Sus scrofa: one gene and its partner. Each later gene encodes a partner of the first gene's protein in a complex. Links are inferred from orthologs where the notes say so. Each region holds a gene or a part of one and is shown in the gene's direction. Other genes may lie near its edges.

Region 1 (3,818 bases):
TAAATGTTTTTGTTCTTGATTATTTGGAGCAAGATCAGGAATTTTATGTTAATTTACTTTTTGAATAAAAAACATTTACATGATTCAAAAATCAAAACAGTGAAGTTCCCACTGTGGCATAGCAGGTTAAAGATCTGGCATTGCTGCAGCTGTGGCTTGGATTTGATCCCTTGACCAAGAACTTCCATATGCTATGGTTGTGCCCCCAGCCCACCAAAAAATCAAAACAGTGTTAAGAAGCACTCCCATCTCTTCACTCATTTGTCCTATTTCTCCCTCTCTCCCATAAGTAAATACTGGTTTCTTCCTTCCTTTGTTTTTTCCTTTCTTTCTTCTTTTCTCTTTTCTTGTTTTTTCAGGGCCGCACTCACAGCATATGGAGGTTCCCGGGTTAGGGGTCAAATTGGAGCTACAGCCACCGGGCTACACCACAGCCACAGCAACGCCAGATCCGAACCGCATCTGCAACCTACACCACAGCTCAAGGCAACGGCAGATCTGTAACCCACTGATCGAGGCCAGGGATCGAACCTGCAGCCTCATCGTTCCTAGTTGGATTTGTTTCCACTGCGCCACAATTGGAACTCTGATACTGGCTTCTTATGTCTTCCAGGTGACTTTGTCTTTGGATACAACATTATAGTTGTATTCCCCCCCTTTTTTAGTTTTCACCTTGCTTTATTTATCATGGAGATCTTTCCATAGATCATAGAGAGCTTTATTTTTTTGAGTTTTCATTTAAAAATTTCAAGAGACTATATAAAGAGTTCCCTATGGCTCAGTGGGTTAAGGATCCAGTATTGTGACTGCTGTGGCATGGGTTTGTTCCCTGGCACAGGAACTTCTGCATGCCGTGGGTGCATTTTGCTACACTTGCTTCATCTGTTTTTGCTTTCTTTCTTTCTTTCTTTTCTAAAATATAATCAAGTAAATAAACATTATGCATTTCATCTTTAAATACTTGGTTTGCATCTCTGAAAAGGCAAGAATATGTCTCACATGTTCACATTCCTAATGTAATGAACAGTACTTTTTAAACATCAACCGATACAGTTTATACAAATTTATTTAATTGTCCCCAAATGTCTTTAAATATGGTTTATTTAGACAGGGACCTTTCATTGTACTTCATTGTTAATGTATCCTAAATCTCCTAGAGTGTCTCTTTTTCTCTCTTTAAAATGACTGGTGGCTCAGTGGGTTAAAGATCTGACCTTGTCACTGCTGTGGCTTGTGTTGCTGCTGTGGCATGGGCTCAATCCCTCACGTGGGAACTTCTGCATGCCATGGGCTTGGCCGAAAAATAAAAAATTAAATCAATTAAAGAAATAAGCATAGAAGAGTATTTTTAAGATTTGATGCATATTACTAGAAAGGTATAGAAAGGTGGTTTCCATATACAGCCTTAGCCAGAGTATATGAGGGTGCCATTTTCACCTTACCTACAGTCTCAGTTCCCTAGTTTAAAATAATTATAAAGTAAACCCAGTTTTCACATCTCAACTCTTATCAAATTATCACCTGTGTTACCTCTTACAAAGGACAGTTTAACCTCTCTGTGCCTCAAATTTCTTTCCTTTAAAATTGGGGTAAGAATATCTAAAATGTTTAGAAGAATGCCTCAAATACAGTAAATACTTATAAGTGTCTTTTATTATTTACATGTTTAGGTAAAAAATTCATGTAGTACAGAAGTGTACTGGGTCCGTTATAGTCCTAGCCCTTCTAAAACTTCATTTCTGTCTCATTTTAGTTAGAAGAGCCTGAAGAACCTAAAGTGCTAACTCCAGAAGAACAACTAGCAGATAAACTACGGCTAAAGAAACTACAGGAAGAGTCAGACCTCGAATTAGCAAAAGAAACTTTTGGTAAGTGGAGGTGTGATAGGAGTGCAGTATTGTAATTCCAGGTGAATACTGCGGCAGTCTTACTAGTTATGAAAATTCGGGGTGGTTTTTTTGTTTGTTTGCTTTTTGCTTTTTTAGGACACCTATAGCTTATGGAGGTTCCCAGGCTAGGGGTAATCAGTGCTGCAGTTTCCGGTCTATACCACACCCATAGGAGCATGAGATCCAACCCATATCTGTGACCTACACCATAGCTCACGGCAACACTGGATCCTTAACCCACAGATCAAGGCCAGGGATCGAACCTGCATCCTCATTGATACTAGCCGGGTTCATTACCGTTGAGCCACAATGAAAACTCCAGAAGATATCTTATTTGAAGAAACACGATACTAGCTTATTTAGATATTAGAAAGCAGTTTTTAATCTCGTTTATATTTTGAGATTTCATTATTTAAAGTAGAATGAGATACATGTTCAGAATTTTGAATAATTATATTGAGTATCATATAAAAGATTATTAAGATAAAAAGTCGTTAAAGAAATTCCCTTGTGGCACAGCGGGTTAAGGATCTGGCATTGTCACTGTAGTGGCTCAGGTTTGATCGCTGGCCTGGGAGCTTCCACATACTGCGGGTATGGCCAAAAGTCTTTAAACCCAAATAAAGTGTACTGCTGCTTTAAATGTATTTATCAGCTTTATGAAATTTATCAGCTTTTGTGAAGAGTTTTGTAGCTGTGAGACTTACACACTGAACTGACTGTAGATAATGTTCAGGATTCTGTAAATACAGAAGTTCAGAGTGTTCCAGGGGGTGATTTACGTGGTATAGAAGGTAAAGTAAGAAACATGGCCAGAGAAATAGTTAAAAGCTCTCGCTTCATTTAACAGTTGTTGTCTCTACTGATAAGAGTATTTTTCAGAATAGACTATCATGTTGAAATAGTTGAATAACTTTGAGTTGAAACCTGGAGCCAAGAATGATCTAGTTATCTTGATTCCCCCTCCCCCTTCTTTAAGATGGATCAAGCAGGCTGACTCTAGTGATCATTCTCCTTTCTATTGGAAATGTGACTTTATCTCTCAGTGGATCTCTAACAATATCAAGAGTTGCCATGGATGCTCTTGTGCACTGGCATGTGCTTGGCATGTTTTTTAGTACACTGCTACAGAGGGCACTTGGCTATTATCCTGTCTTCATAGAATGGCAAAAGCCACCCATGTGTTTATTAAAGAGAAGGGCTTATGTGGTAGCTGTAAATTCTAAGATGGGACACCAATTATAGATTAAAAGGGAAAAACATGTATTCACACAGTGATCATTTTGTTAATAGGAATTTAGTGTTGTGTTTCTCACACTAAAATACTGAATTAATGGTACGTTAACAACTAATTTACTTGACTATTGAGGCATATACAGAAGCATAATGTCTCATAGCCTAGAATCCTTTTAGGTCAGATTCATTTTTCTATTGGGATTTAACACATGGTTTACTCCTGCTTAGCTTCTGATACTAGTGAGCTGGATACTTTCACTGGAACTATCTTTCCTTGCTCTGCTTTTTTCTTTTTCTTGCCACTTTTCTGTGGTATTCTTAGACAAAAACCCTTATGTGCCAGGGACTCCTTCGGCAGTCCGGTGAAGCCTGTGGGCCCCTTAATATAATGTTTTTTACTTTTTTTTTGGCTGCACCTGTGGCATGCAGAAGTTCCAAGGCTAGGAATTCAACTCTTGCCACAGCAGCAACCTGAGCCACAGCAGTGACAACCCTGGGTCCTTAATTCACTAGGTCACCAGGGAACTCCAATATAGTGTTTTAAATGTGTAAAACACTCAGGGTTTTATTACTTAGAAAGGAAATTTGTTGTATTGAAATAGGTATCAAAATATTGAAATAACTTGTGATGCAATAATTATGTACAAACCACTTGAATCCTGTCCAAGCAATTCAGTGGACTCAGCTTAAGAA
Region 2 (4,244 bases), on another chromosome or scaffold:
ATGGTTTTCTCTGGATAGATGCCCAGGAGTGGATTGCTGGATCAAATGGTAATTCTATATTTAGCTTTCTGAGGAATCTTCATACTGTTTTCCACAGTGGTTGCACCAATTTATATTCCCACAAAATTTTATTATTGATAATTTGGAAAAATTCCTCCTGACTTCACAATTCTTTTTTTAGTAATGCCATGAACATTTTGAGAGTTGTCAAAGTTGAGGGCAACCAGTATCAAACTTTTTTCCTATATTAACTGTAAGTTTTCAGTTAATTTCAACCTTTCTAGTGCCCTGATTAACCTTAAATACATATTTCATTGAAGACACCCATTGATCCACAGCCCGTGGTAGCTGTATCTTATACACTGAAGGCAGTAACTATTCCCAGAAGAGTATCACATAAGCATATCTTACTAAACTCAAATGTTCCCAGTAGGAATGTCTCTGAAATCCCAAACGCCACTAGACACAGGGGTTAAGTGTGACAGGAGAAATTGAAATAGAAAACGGTTCTAAGGAATTGCAGTAGAAATATTACTTTTGCAAATTTCACAAAAACCCTGTAACTATATTAGCACTCTCCTTGAGCCAACGAAGAGTCCCGGGGACTCCATGAGCCTTTTAGCTTAGTCCTACGATGGTATCACCGCTCGGTTTACAGACAAAGGAGTAAACTCAAAGCAAAAATGCGACATGAGAAGCTGGGGCCAGGCATTGCCATTCTAAATGGCTAACCTAAGGCTCTGGACCCACATATTGGCTTGTATCGCTTTGTTTTACAACCCGGTCCCTAACTCTAGGTCATCCCCAGGAGTCCAACTCCACCCACAGCGTGAGAGTTCATGCTGTAAGCGTGGGTAGGTCCCACGACAACGGCCTCACACCGCAGCTGGCTTCACCTTTGCCTGTTGCAACCTTAATGTCCAAAGTTGGGAAGCGCCTTTTCTCAACGCCCTCTCAACGCCCAAGTCTCAACTTTTACATCCAGTAACTTTATATTGTTGAGGTCGAAACGTTTGAAGACATTTTTCGCTACAGGCAACTCGCTTAACACCTAAATCCACATTCAGCCCCCCCCCACCCCATGTCGGAATTTCCCTTCACGCGAGAGGTCCGCCCGCGGGAGCTGTCAGCCATCTTTTGTGTGGCATCATTTTGTAGCTTCTCTTACTTTGCCCAACCTTTATTACGCTGAAATATTTCATGTCCTTATTTCTGAATGTTTTCAAGTACTATTGAGTCATCTTCTTTGTAGAGTCTCTATTTGAAGATAGAGGAATAATGTGTTTAATCTCATTCGCCCTTCCCAGCATGGCTGCCTCAGGTTGCCGAAGGCCCCGGAAGAGCTTCTGGTTTCCCAGCCAACTCGAGATGGGCTGGACTTCCGGCGTCCAGACGCAGGCGAGGTGCGCTTTTTCCGCTCTTTCCTCCTGGGCCTCGGAGCGCCGCAGCCATGTCTTATCCCGCTGATGATTATGAGTCGGAGGTAAGCTGCCCCTAGGCGTGTTCTGGGCGCCGCAACATGGACAGGGCTCTTTGGGTGTTGGGCCCCGCGGGGGGACAGTGTCTGGGTCTCTAGGAGCCCCCGTGGGCCGCGACCAGCCCCAGCCGGCCTCTCTGCCAGCACTGCTCTCACTGCTGCCACCCTACCCTCCCGGCTCCTCATCAGCCTGGTCTCAGCCCGCCCACCTCGCGTGTCTCGTTTTCTTTTCCTTTTCTTTCCGAAGCCCAAGAACGGAGGCTGGTCATAGGGTTCTGTGTTTCTGTAATTGAACTCTGATTTCTTAGGCCCTGGCCTTAGTCCTGCCAAACCTCGTCGATTCCCACAGCTTCTGTGCTTTGCTGTATCTCATTGCAGCTGCAACGCGGTATTGTCGTTGTCTGTTTATTCTCCCTTTTCTCATAGGGATGTGAGTTCCTCCAAGGCAGGGACTGCGTCTTACCCCCTTTGTATCCTTAGAACCCAGGAGGAGCATTTTGGATTCACGAATTGGTGACGGTCTTGTTTGTCTCTTTCGTTAACAGACTGCTTATGATCCCTATGCTTACCCGGGCGACTATGATATGCACACAGGTGAGTCTACAGTTTGTCTGGCTAGCTGGGTACTTCTAGGGATTGGCACCCTTTTGAATGTCTCAGAACAGCTTTGCCGGGCACCTGTTTAAGACTACGTCTTGATAGTCCAGGTTTGGAGTCAAGTTACTAACTCTCAAAGGGAGGGTGGTATATAGCCTATTAAACCAGGCCTTTTTCATGGTCCATCTCAAAGTCTCAGAAGGGAAGGATTACTGTCTCAGCTGTTTAAACTATTAGCTGAAGAAAAAAGCCTTTTGGGGGGGGGGCTGCCCCTGTGGCACGTGGGGATTACTGGGCCAGAAACTGAACCCTCACCACAGCATCGACCTGAGCTACTGCAGTGACAACATCAGATCCTTAATCCACTGCACCGCAGGGAAATTCCAGAAGAAGACATCTTGTGAAAAGTTAAAAGTGATTCAAACCAAGTCCAGATGAAACCTTTTTGGAAGGTTTTTGAGGTTTCCTGGGTTGTTACGATGACTTGGTTTGACTTAGCCCTTTGTACGTGCCGTGTGTTGTCCTGGATACTTTGTGTGAAGTATTTCATTTAGTCCTTACAGCAGTTCTATAAATACATAAATTAATGTTTCCATTTTCTAGGTGAAAAAACAGCACAGAGAAATTTAGTTACTTGCATCAAGTCATATATGTAGAAAACAGCAGTCATTCGCTCAAAAAAATCAAGTGCCTACTACTAAATTCCTTCTTTTCACAGTTTTCCCCCTACCTCCCACACGCACGGAGAACTCTTTCTCGTCTAGAGGCACCTGTCTCATACACCTGGGTACAAGACAGACAAGGTTCTTGCTCCTATAGGGTTGAGGTTCTAGTGGGGGAAACAATAAGTAAATAAGTAACTTTAGGTAGCAGGAAAGGTTCTGAAGAAACAGGCCAGGGAGTTCCCGTTGTGGCGCAGTGGTTAGCGAATCCGACTAGGAACCATGAGGTTGCGGGTTTGATCCCTGCCCTTGCTCAGTGGGTTAACGATCCGGCTTTGCCATGAGCTGTGGTGTAGGTCGCAGACGCAGCTCGGATCCCGCATTGCTGTGGCTCTGGGTAGACTGGCGGCTATAGCTCCAATTCGACCCCTAGCCTGGGAACCTCCATATGCCATGGGAGCGGCCCAAGAAACGGCAAAAAGACAAAACAAAACAAAATGAAAGAAACAGGCCAGTGGCGATTGAGAGTGACATAAAGAGAATTTATATTTCTGGGTGTTTAAAAGGGAATGGGAGTTCCCTTGTGGCTCAGCGGGTTAAGGATCTGATGCCACTGCTGTGGCTCTGGTCACTGGATTGCTGTGGGAACTTCTGCATGCCTCCCCCCCTCCCCACAAAAGGAATAATACCCAATTGTATAGACTTTAGTTTAGGGGGTGGGAGGCCTTGCCCTTTTGTTACACATGTGGATTTGAGATGTCATATCCCACCTCTAGGCGATCCGAAGCAGGATCTGGCTTATGAACGTCAGTATGAGCAGCAGACCTATCAGGTGATTCCCGAGGTGATCAAAAACTTCATCCAGTATTTCCACAAAACTGTGTCGGACTTGATTGACCAGAAGGTGTATGAACTACAGGCCAGTCGCGTGTCCAGCGATGTCATTGACCAAAAGGTGTATGAGATCCAGGACATCTATGAGAACAGGTATGGGCCACCTGCCGAAATGACCTCCTACTGGGTGGGACTGGCTGGATAAAGCGGTCCCCGAAGAGGGGTAATGTTTTGTCATTCTCTCTGTAAAGAGCGCGCCCAAGGGGTTTCTTTGATTCTTTGGGGCTAGGGACATGTTATTTTGTAGAGTTTATCCCCAGAACTTACAAGGCCTAAAATAATAACACCACTGTCGATTATAATTAAAATAGCAACTAGATGTATGATCAGTGTGTGCCCTTCGCAGTAACCCCATGAAGTAGGTTCTATTGTTTTCCTCATCTTTCAGGTGAGGAAGCAGCACAGAAAGGCTAAGTGACAAAGCCTAAGTGCACGTGCTGAGTGCCGAGCTGCACAGACTGTCTGTCGCCAGAGCCCGATTTCACTAAACTGTGCCCTACAACTTCTCAGTGCGAAACAGCGTGAGCCCTGAGTGGTCGCTTCTGGTACTGAGGGGCCTGCCCTTGTATACTCAGTGTTAGAGAGTCAGGAAACGGCTTCACCAAGGAAACGGG

Evidence for each region.
Region 2: EIF3J (region 1) and EIF3L share a complex: the UniProt entries of both Homo sapiens proteins name them as parts of the eukaryotic translation initiation factor 3 (eIF-3) complex. The link is inferred for Sus scrofa from reciprocal best matches to the Homo sapiens genes EIF3J and EIF3L.

The regions. Positions count from the first base shown.
Region 1 is NC_010443.5:127,002,196-127,006,013, reverse strand, and holds part of EIF3J (eukaryotic translation initiation factor 3 subunit J), read left to right. Parts: intron 1-1,753; coding exon 1,754-1,868; intron 1,869-3,818. UniProt on the Homo sapiens protein: Component of the eukaryotic translation initiation factor 3 (eIF-3) complex, which is required for several steps in the initiation of protein synthesis.
Region 2 is NC_010447.5:9,993,200-9,997,443, reverse strand, and holds the start of EIF3L (eukaryotic translation initiation factor 3 subunit L), read left to right. Parts: upstream 1-1,357; 5' UTR 1,358-1,450; coding exon 1,451-1,483; intron 1,484-2,022; coding exon 2,023-2,071; intron 2,072-3,512; coding exon 3,513-3,723; intron 3,724-4,244. UniProt on the Homo sapiens protein: Component of the eukaryotic translation initiation factor 3 (eIF-3) complex, which is required for several steps in the initiation of protein synthesis.